Linked DNA regions of Lonchura striata. The protein of the gene in region 1 purifies or fractionates together with the protein of each later gene. This does not show direct contact. Links are inferred from orthologs where the notes say so. Each region holds a gene or a part of one and is shown in the gene's direction. Other genes may lie near its edges.

Evidence for each region. Proteins that work in one complex are often made in the same cells at the same time.
Region 2: the proteins of FBXO45 (region 1) and MYCBP2 purify together in Homo sapiens (affinity purification with western blotting; 7 studies listed by BioGRID and IntAct, with this or other methods). This does not show direct contact. The link is inferred for Lonchura striata from reciprocal best matches to the Homo sapiens genes FBXO45 and MYCBP2.

Annotation. Positions count from the first base shown.
Region 1 is NC_134612.1:5,268,219-5,271,961, forward strand, and holds the start of FBXO45 (F-box/SPRY domain-containing protein 1), read left to right. Parts: upstream 1-1,278; coding exon 1,279-1,554; intron 1,555-1,774; coding exon 1,775-2,131; intron 2,132-3,743. Other genes in the region: WDR53 (WD repeat-containing protein 53), read right to left, coding at 1-206. UniProt on the Homo sapiens protein: Component of E3 ubiquitin ligase complex consisting of FBXO45, MYCBP2 and SKP1. Functions in substrate recognition but also plays an important role in assembly of the complex.
Region 2 is NC_134604.1:48,875,809-48,879,551, forward strand, and holds the start of MYCBP2 (E3 ubiquitin-protein ligase MYCBP2), read left to right. Parts: upstream 1-806; 5' UTR 807-819; coding exon 820-1,091; intron 1,092-3,743. UniProt on the Homo sapiens protein: Atypical E3 ubiquitin-protein ligase which specifically mediates ubiquitination of threonine and serine residues on target proteins, instead of ubiquitinating lysine residues.

The DNA of each region.
Region 1 (3,743 bases):
GTGTACAGCGTGCTGGGCCGGCGGGCGGAGAACACCAGCGAGGTCACGTCCTCCGCCTGCGGGAGCCGCAGCTGAGCCACCGGCGAGCCTTCCCCGTCCCAGAGCGCCAGCTCGCCCCGCTCCGCGCCGGAGGCCACCAGCCCTTCCGCGCTCACGTTCAGGCACAGCACAGAGGAGGAGTGCCCACCGTCCCACTTCACTGCCATGCTTCAGGGACACCCCTGAAACACACAAAAACAAGCCCCGAACTGAGGCGGTTGTTGAGCTCATGACAGAAGAAATTATAAGCAGGAAGATCATCCTGAAACTTCAGCGTGCAGTTAAAACGGGCACCTCGGCAGCTCAGGACAGCTCAGTACCCAAGTGGAGCTTTCGCACAAATACCAACGGCACCAGGCACAGCGGGAGCGCTGACCGGTCTTTTCCAACCTAGATAACACAATGAGACTTTTTAAAAGCAGTATTACTCCTTTAAAACAGGTTGCAACATATTTAATTGCGTCTCAGTACACAGCCATGTGCTCACCAACCTTAACCCTCCCTTGGTGTGACTCCCCGCAGCAGCCTGTGTCACAGCACTGCTTAGGGAAACGCATCAGCAAAAAAATTAAGTGAAGAGCGAAAAAGGGCAGCACGAAAGTGTTGGAGGGACTGGGACGCTGCGGAGAAAAAGAGAGAGGCACACGGGGTTTGTGTGACAGCCCAGCAGCCGCCTCGCTGCCCTAAGGTCCGTGCGTTTATTTAACCACGTTATGTTCTCCGTGTGGTTTTTGCTGACCCAGATCTAAAGAGCAGCCAGAGCCCATTCATTCCACCAGAGGAACTTCGGTCTTGGCGATCAAATAACACTACGGAGAGGGCCGATACCTTCCCCGCAGCTCGCACCGGGGCAGACTCGCGGCCGCCGGTCCCCGGTGGCCCCAGGTGAGTCGTACCCCGCCAACCCCGAGCCCTGCGGCAGCTCGGTCCGACCGCCCCCCGCCGCGGCAGGCCCGGCCCTGCGGCCGCCCCCCGGCCCGCGGGGCGCGGCGCTGCCGGGGCCGCGCCGGGGGGCTCGGGACCCTCCGCCCTCACCTCCGCTCCGCTCCGCTCCGCCGCGCTCCGCTCGCCGCCCCCGGCTCCGCTCGGCGCCGCCGCCGCCCCGCGCCGGCCCCCCGCGCCCGCCGCGCACGCGCGGGGCGGTGCCCGCGGCCGAGATGGCGGCGCCGCGCGCCCCCGCGCCGTGAGGCCTCGGGCGGCCCCGGCGACACCGGGCGGGCGAGGGCAGCGCGGGGGGCGATGGCGGCGGGGCCCGGCCCCGGGCCCGGCCCCGGGGCGGCCGCGGCGTCGTGGGGAGGGCCGGGCTGGCGGCTGCCGGGGCGGGTGCTGGAGCTGGTGTTCTCGTACCTGGAGCTGCGGGAGCTGCGGAGTTGCGCGCTGGTCTGCAAGCTGTGGCACCGCGTCCTGCACGGCGACGAGAACAGCGAGGTGTGGCGCAGCCTGGCCGCCCGCTGCCTGGCCGAGGAGGCCCTGCGCACCGACATCCTCTGCAACGTGCCCACCTACAAGGGCAAGGTGAGGCCGGGACCCCCACCCCGCCGGGACACCCCTCCACCGCCGCCCCCGCAGCCCTCCGGCCCACCCGCCATCGGAAACGAAGGGGGCGGGAGGCCGGGGACCATGGCAGGGTTTTATCTCCTAGAGCCACAATGGTTTGGGTTGGAAGGGACACCTCCCACTAGACCAGGCTGCTCCAAGCCCCGTCCATCTCCCCCACCCGCCTTCTCTCGCCCAGGTCCGTGCCTTCCACCACGCCTTCAGCACCAACGACTGCTCGAGGAACGTGTACATCAAGAAGAACGGCTTCACGCTGCACCGCAACCCCATCGCGCAGAGCACGGACGGGGCGCGCACCAAGATCGGCTTCAGCGAGGGCCGGCACGCCTGGGAGGTGTGGTGGGAGGGCCCGCTGGGCACCGTGGCCGTCATCGGCATCGCCACCAAGCGCGCGGCCATGCAGTGCCAGGGCTACGTGGCCCTGCTGGGCAGCGACGACCAGAGTTGGGGCTGGAACCTGGTGGACAATAACTTGCTGCATAACGGGGAGGTGAACGGCAGCTTCCCCCAGTGCAATAACGCGCCCAAGTACCAGGTGAGGGGGCTCGGCGTGGGCTCTGGGGGGTGCTGGCCATCCCTCGCTGTCCCGGCTGGCTGCTGGATTGCTCCGAAGTGACTCTCGGAGGTCTTTTTGCCTTCCCTGCAGAAGGCAAATGATTCTACCTCGTGAGCCTTTTCCCCTCCTGTCTGGTGTTCAGTGCACCTGACCCTGGGTTGTTCCCACACTATAATCTCACACATTGAGTGTGAAACCTGTGGGTGTCTGCTTAGGCATCGTGGTGCTTTTTTGAATAAAACCTGAAAAGGCTGTTGTAGCTTTCTGAAGTAGCGACTTGCCCCACAGCAAGGTGACTGTCTGAGGGCTTGTACCCCTTTGTTGTCCGGCACGGTGAGCTGAAGTTAGTGCATAGGTGAGAGTCTTCCTGCAAAAACCTGCAGCAGTGCTGATTAGTGATGCTTTGCTCACTGGCCACCTTCCCGTGGGTGACATTTATCTGGAATCTGATGTTCAGATAACTTCAGGGTATTAAAGAGCAGAGGCCAGCCTACCTTTTTGTCCTTAAAGAAGCCTGTCTTGTCATTCTGCCTGCTCACACAGCTGTCTTTTCACTGCTGGATTTGCTCGTGTTACAACTTAAACTGGATCATTGTAATTTCTGTCTCATATTCAGAGAATGGGTTAGAAGTGACTTTAAAAATAATCCAGTCTGACATCCAGTGCTGTGGCTTTGTACTGGCTTACATTCCACTTGTGGCTGAAGATCTGTGTAGTACCTTGCATCTGATGTTCCTAAATTTGTGTGAAAGTTCAAATCAGCGATCCTTTGGTGTATTTTGTGTTTATTAAGACATGTGCAGTGATCTGCTCATAGAAAACATGCTTACAGGAAACACATGTGTGTGTTAGTGTTGACTAGAAGAAATTCCCAGTGCTGCGGCTGGCTGGAGAAGAGTCAAGAGTTTGTGTGGTGCCTGCTGTGCTTGTGGCTGTTTTCTGGGACTTCCATTGATATAACATGTGCTATATAAATGCAGGGAGCTCTGGGCCTGCCTGGATCCGAGGCTCCTGCTGTGGTCAATGCTGGTTTCACTTATGTGTTTGTATGTATATCCTTTCAGGGTTTTTGTTTTACATTTTGTACTGAAATTTTCTTTTATTAAGACACGTGCAGTGGTCTGCTCATAGAAAACGTGCTTGGTGAGGGAACACCTCTGTCAGTGACAAAACCTGTATATTAATCTATTCTGGGATTTTTTTGTAGGTGGCACTTGCCTTTCTTAAACCCATTGTCTTTAAAAATGCTCCTCACAGAGCAGTTGCTGCTCAGTGATATCAGCAGCTGAACACAGAGCTCAGGTAACTTGGAGCCCATTGCAAAGATTCCAAAGCTCTGCAGTATTTCCAAAGCACACAGCACATAGTGCCTGCTCTCAGTGCTCTCACAGGTTCATATGGGAAGGGTCACGTTTATTATCATAAACAGGTGGTGGATGCAGGCTGTCCTGCTTCAGATCATGGTGAAATTGAGAAATTCCTGTCACAAGAGCAATCAGTCATGAGACACAGGACAGCCCTGCTTTATAATTCTCTGCTGTGTTACATTTTGCATTATTTTTGTTTCCATCCGAACATGCTGACACTCTCT
Region 2 (3,743 bases), on another chromosome or scaffold:
TCGGTCATAGGCTGGGTTCGCACTCCCATCAGGGCACAGAAGAAGCTCCGTGCGAATGCCCGACCTCGCTCGGGCGTGCCCGCGGGGTGGGAGGCCGGCCCCGCGGGGGTGGGAGGCGTGCCCGCGGGGGTGGGAGGCCGGCCCCGCGGGGGTGGGAGGCCGGTCCCGCGGGGTGGGAGGCCGGTCCCGCGGGGTGGGAGGCCGGCCCCGCGGGGTGGGAGCTGGTCCCCCGGCCGCGCCCGGTGCTCCGGGCCCGCGGCGCCCCGGCCGCGCGCAGCAGGTGCTGCTCCCGCCCGCCCATCCCGGATTTCCCGGGGGCCGCGCGGGGCGGGCGGGGCGGCGCATGCGCCCGGCGGCCGCGCTGCCCGCGGGAGGGAGGCGGGGCCGGGGCGGCCGTGCGGGGAGAGGGCGGCGGCAGCGCCGAGCACAAACTCCGGAGGGGAAGCGGCACCGCCGGCCTCCGCCCCCCGCCCCCACACACACACTCCCTGTAGCGGGAAGGGGGAAGCAAGCAGCCCGCCCCCCCCTCCCCAGTCCCAGCGGTGCACGGTCCTTCCCGGGACTCGGTGGCGGCGGGCGCTGTGCCCGGAGCGGAAGGCGAGCGGCGGGTAGCTGGGGCCTGGAGCCGCCGCTGGAGGAGGGGAAGAGCGGGGTGTTCCCGCATCGCGGGTGGATGCGCAGCCTGAAGGGCGGCTCCTGCGGCGCCTCCTGCGGCCTCGCCATGGCCGGGCCCCGGCGGTGAAGGCAGCGGGAGCCGCCTGTGTCCGCGCCGCGCCAGGAGGCGGCGCCTCCGCAAGCAGGGGGCGGGCGGGGAGGGGGATGAGCAGCGCCGCAGCCGCCGCCGCCTCTGCGGGAGCCGCCGCCGCCTGCACCGGGGCCGAACGCGGCTACTCCTTCTCCTCCGGCGGCGCCGCCCCGGCTATGGGGCCCGAGGAGGGCTCGGCCGGCGGGCTGGGAGCCCTGCCCGCGCCGCCGCCGGGCTGCCGGAGCCGCTACCAGCTGCTGCTCTCCGGGAAGGCCCTGGCCGACAGATACCGGAGGATTTACACGGCGGCGCTGAGCGATCGCGAGCTGGGGAGCCACCCGGGCAGGTAACGCGCACCGCGCCGCGCCAGACGTGCAGCCCCCGCGACCCCTCCCATCGCCGGCTGGGAGCGGCCCGGCGCCTGCACCTTCCTCCCTCCCGGCAGCCGCCCTCCTCATCCTCCTCCCCGCCCCCGTGCCGGGCGGCGCGGGTGTCCCCCCTGCCATGTGGCCGCGCCGCCGCGCCCCGGGGGACGGACGGAGGGAAGGGGCGGTGATGTAACCCGGCGGCTGCCCAGGTGCCGCCCGGGCCCCGCCGCTCGCCTGGCCGGCGATACCGCGCAGATGGCGCTGCCGCCCCCTCTCCCGGGCCCTCCGGGGCAGAGTTACCTGTGCCCGCCCCAGTGTGCGGCCCAGCTCCCCGGGGTGATGGAGAATGCCAGTGCTGGGACCCCGGGCGGATGGAGACTGCCCATGCTGGGACCCCGGGCAGACCTCGCTCCGGCCAGGCTTGCCGGAACGGGCTGAATCCCGTGGTCTCTCCCGCGACAGGTTGCGCAGGGCACCCGCGTCTCCCGCTGGCCGTGTTGCCCGAGTGAGGGACCGTGGCGCTTTTTCCCTGTACAGGGCCTGCCTTTAGCTACCCTGCCTTATTTTTCCTCCCCCTCTTCAGGTCATGTTCCCCCTTTGCCACCGCCGTGTAGGCGGCCTCGGTGTCTGGACGGAGGCAGCGCCTTGCCGGGGGCAGCCGGGGGTTGCGGGGTGCGGTGTGGCCCCACCTGGTTCCCGAGCAGCCCTCCCCCGGCGATGATGCCACTCAGGGCTCCCCTTCCCGGCCCTGCCAGCCGGCTCTGGGGCCGCCGCAGGGTGCCTGTTGCTCCTCCGGCCGGGAATGCCGCCCTGCCCTGCTCCCGGGCGGGGAGGGGGCTGCGGCGGTGCGGAGCCGCGGGGGAGAGGGGAGACCGCCCTTACCCCGCAGCCCGGCCCTGCCCGGGCGGACCCCCTCAGCCCCGCAGGCCGTGGCGGGGCGCCCGGGCTCGCTCTGTGAAGGGCTCCCCTGTGGTGCCCGGGCGCTCCCCATTGTTTCCCTCCGAAGGTCGCTGAGGATGTGGATGATACGAAACCGGCACCTTCCTGTGTTCTCAGCCTGGGCTGCTGCTCAGGCTGTGATGTGGGTGGCCGGGTCGTATGGAGAGCTTTGAGTCACCGTTGTTTCAAGTTTGCAAAGGGTTGTAAAGCACGAGGAGGTTGCCTGCTTGGCTTCTTCAGGTTGTTGTCGGACTTGACAGTAGGGTTTACCCCCCATCCCCCTCGCCCCAGAAAGCTGTGTCTAGGAACGGCATTAACATAAGACACATACCTTTCCCCATTTGCTTATGGTTAATGCTGGAAATGTGGACTGATAACATGGGTACTTGACATCTTTGCGACTACTGACTTCTTTTCAGTGTATGATAGGGAAACTATAGTTCTTCTTTACCCCCTGAAGACCAGCAAGTGTTTTCTTACTCCACATATTTCTTAGTCCAGTGCTTAATACTTTTTTTCATTAAATGTCTTTCTGCTTTTGAGCTTCATATCATTTAGTCCCGGGATTTCAAGTGCTAAGTGTAAGGATACAACTAAATGCAAAGAAATCACCTGTGCAATTGCTCCTCAGTGCTCAAGTGCCTGTCTGAATTTTGCCCAAAGGGGTCTATTTTTTAAAGCTGTAGTTTTGCATTAGTCGTGTCCTCCATGTCTTTTGGTTTCAGGATGATTCAACTGCTATCCCTTATACTTAAAATTGTAGAAGATACTAGGTTTACATGGGTGTAAATGTTAATGCTTCTCTTAATGTTTTTGAGGTCAAGTCAAAGAAGACAGATTCCTCATACAGAGTAAACAGGTTATATTAAGCTTTGGCAAGGTAACGGCAGGTAGTTAATACTGGTGAACACAGCCGATGTGTCTTGGACTTTTGAGGGGAGGTTTAATAATTATCTAGTTTCCTGTTGTCACTGCCCCCGCTATCTTATGTGGCAGACTGATGGCAGCCAAGATACTGCTTGTGGTCTCCACCTTTTCTCCATATTGGTGTCAAAATACTGCAAAATACTTCAGCTGCCTGGATGACTTAAACAGAAATGGTCAAAAAATATGCCTTTTTACAAAACTAGTACAAATTCCTAATATTTTCTAAGGAGAGCTTTAAATTGAACTGTGGCTGCATCTAGTTGCTATGGTAGAAAACAGTGCTAGATAATTAAATAGAGCTTAAGATAACAGAAGTCATCTTAAGCTTAGGTTATGACAGAAGTCCTAACTTGATTTTTATATATATGGAAAATCTGAAGCCTCTTAAGCAGTAAGATTGTCAATAAGAGTGTTTGTGACTACAAAAATGACTTGAAGTAGCTGAAAAAAGCTAAACAAATCGGCTGATCAACAGTAATAAAATTCTTCTTGTGTTCCAAGAAGACTAATGTGAAGAATGATAGTGCAACCTATTTGCCATAAATTGATGTGGAATTTTTACTTCAAGTCTGCAGAATTATACTCTGCACTTCATGGGCTGTGACCAATGCCTGCCTCAGCAAGTACTTCTATGGCAAACCTAACTTTAATGTTTATGAAGAACTGGCAAGCAGTATGAAAATGCTTTTGTGTAGACAAGGAAATCAAACATTGTGGAGATTATCTGAAAGTCACAAGATTAGTATCACATTTGCAAGGTGTTT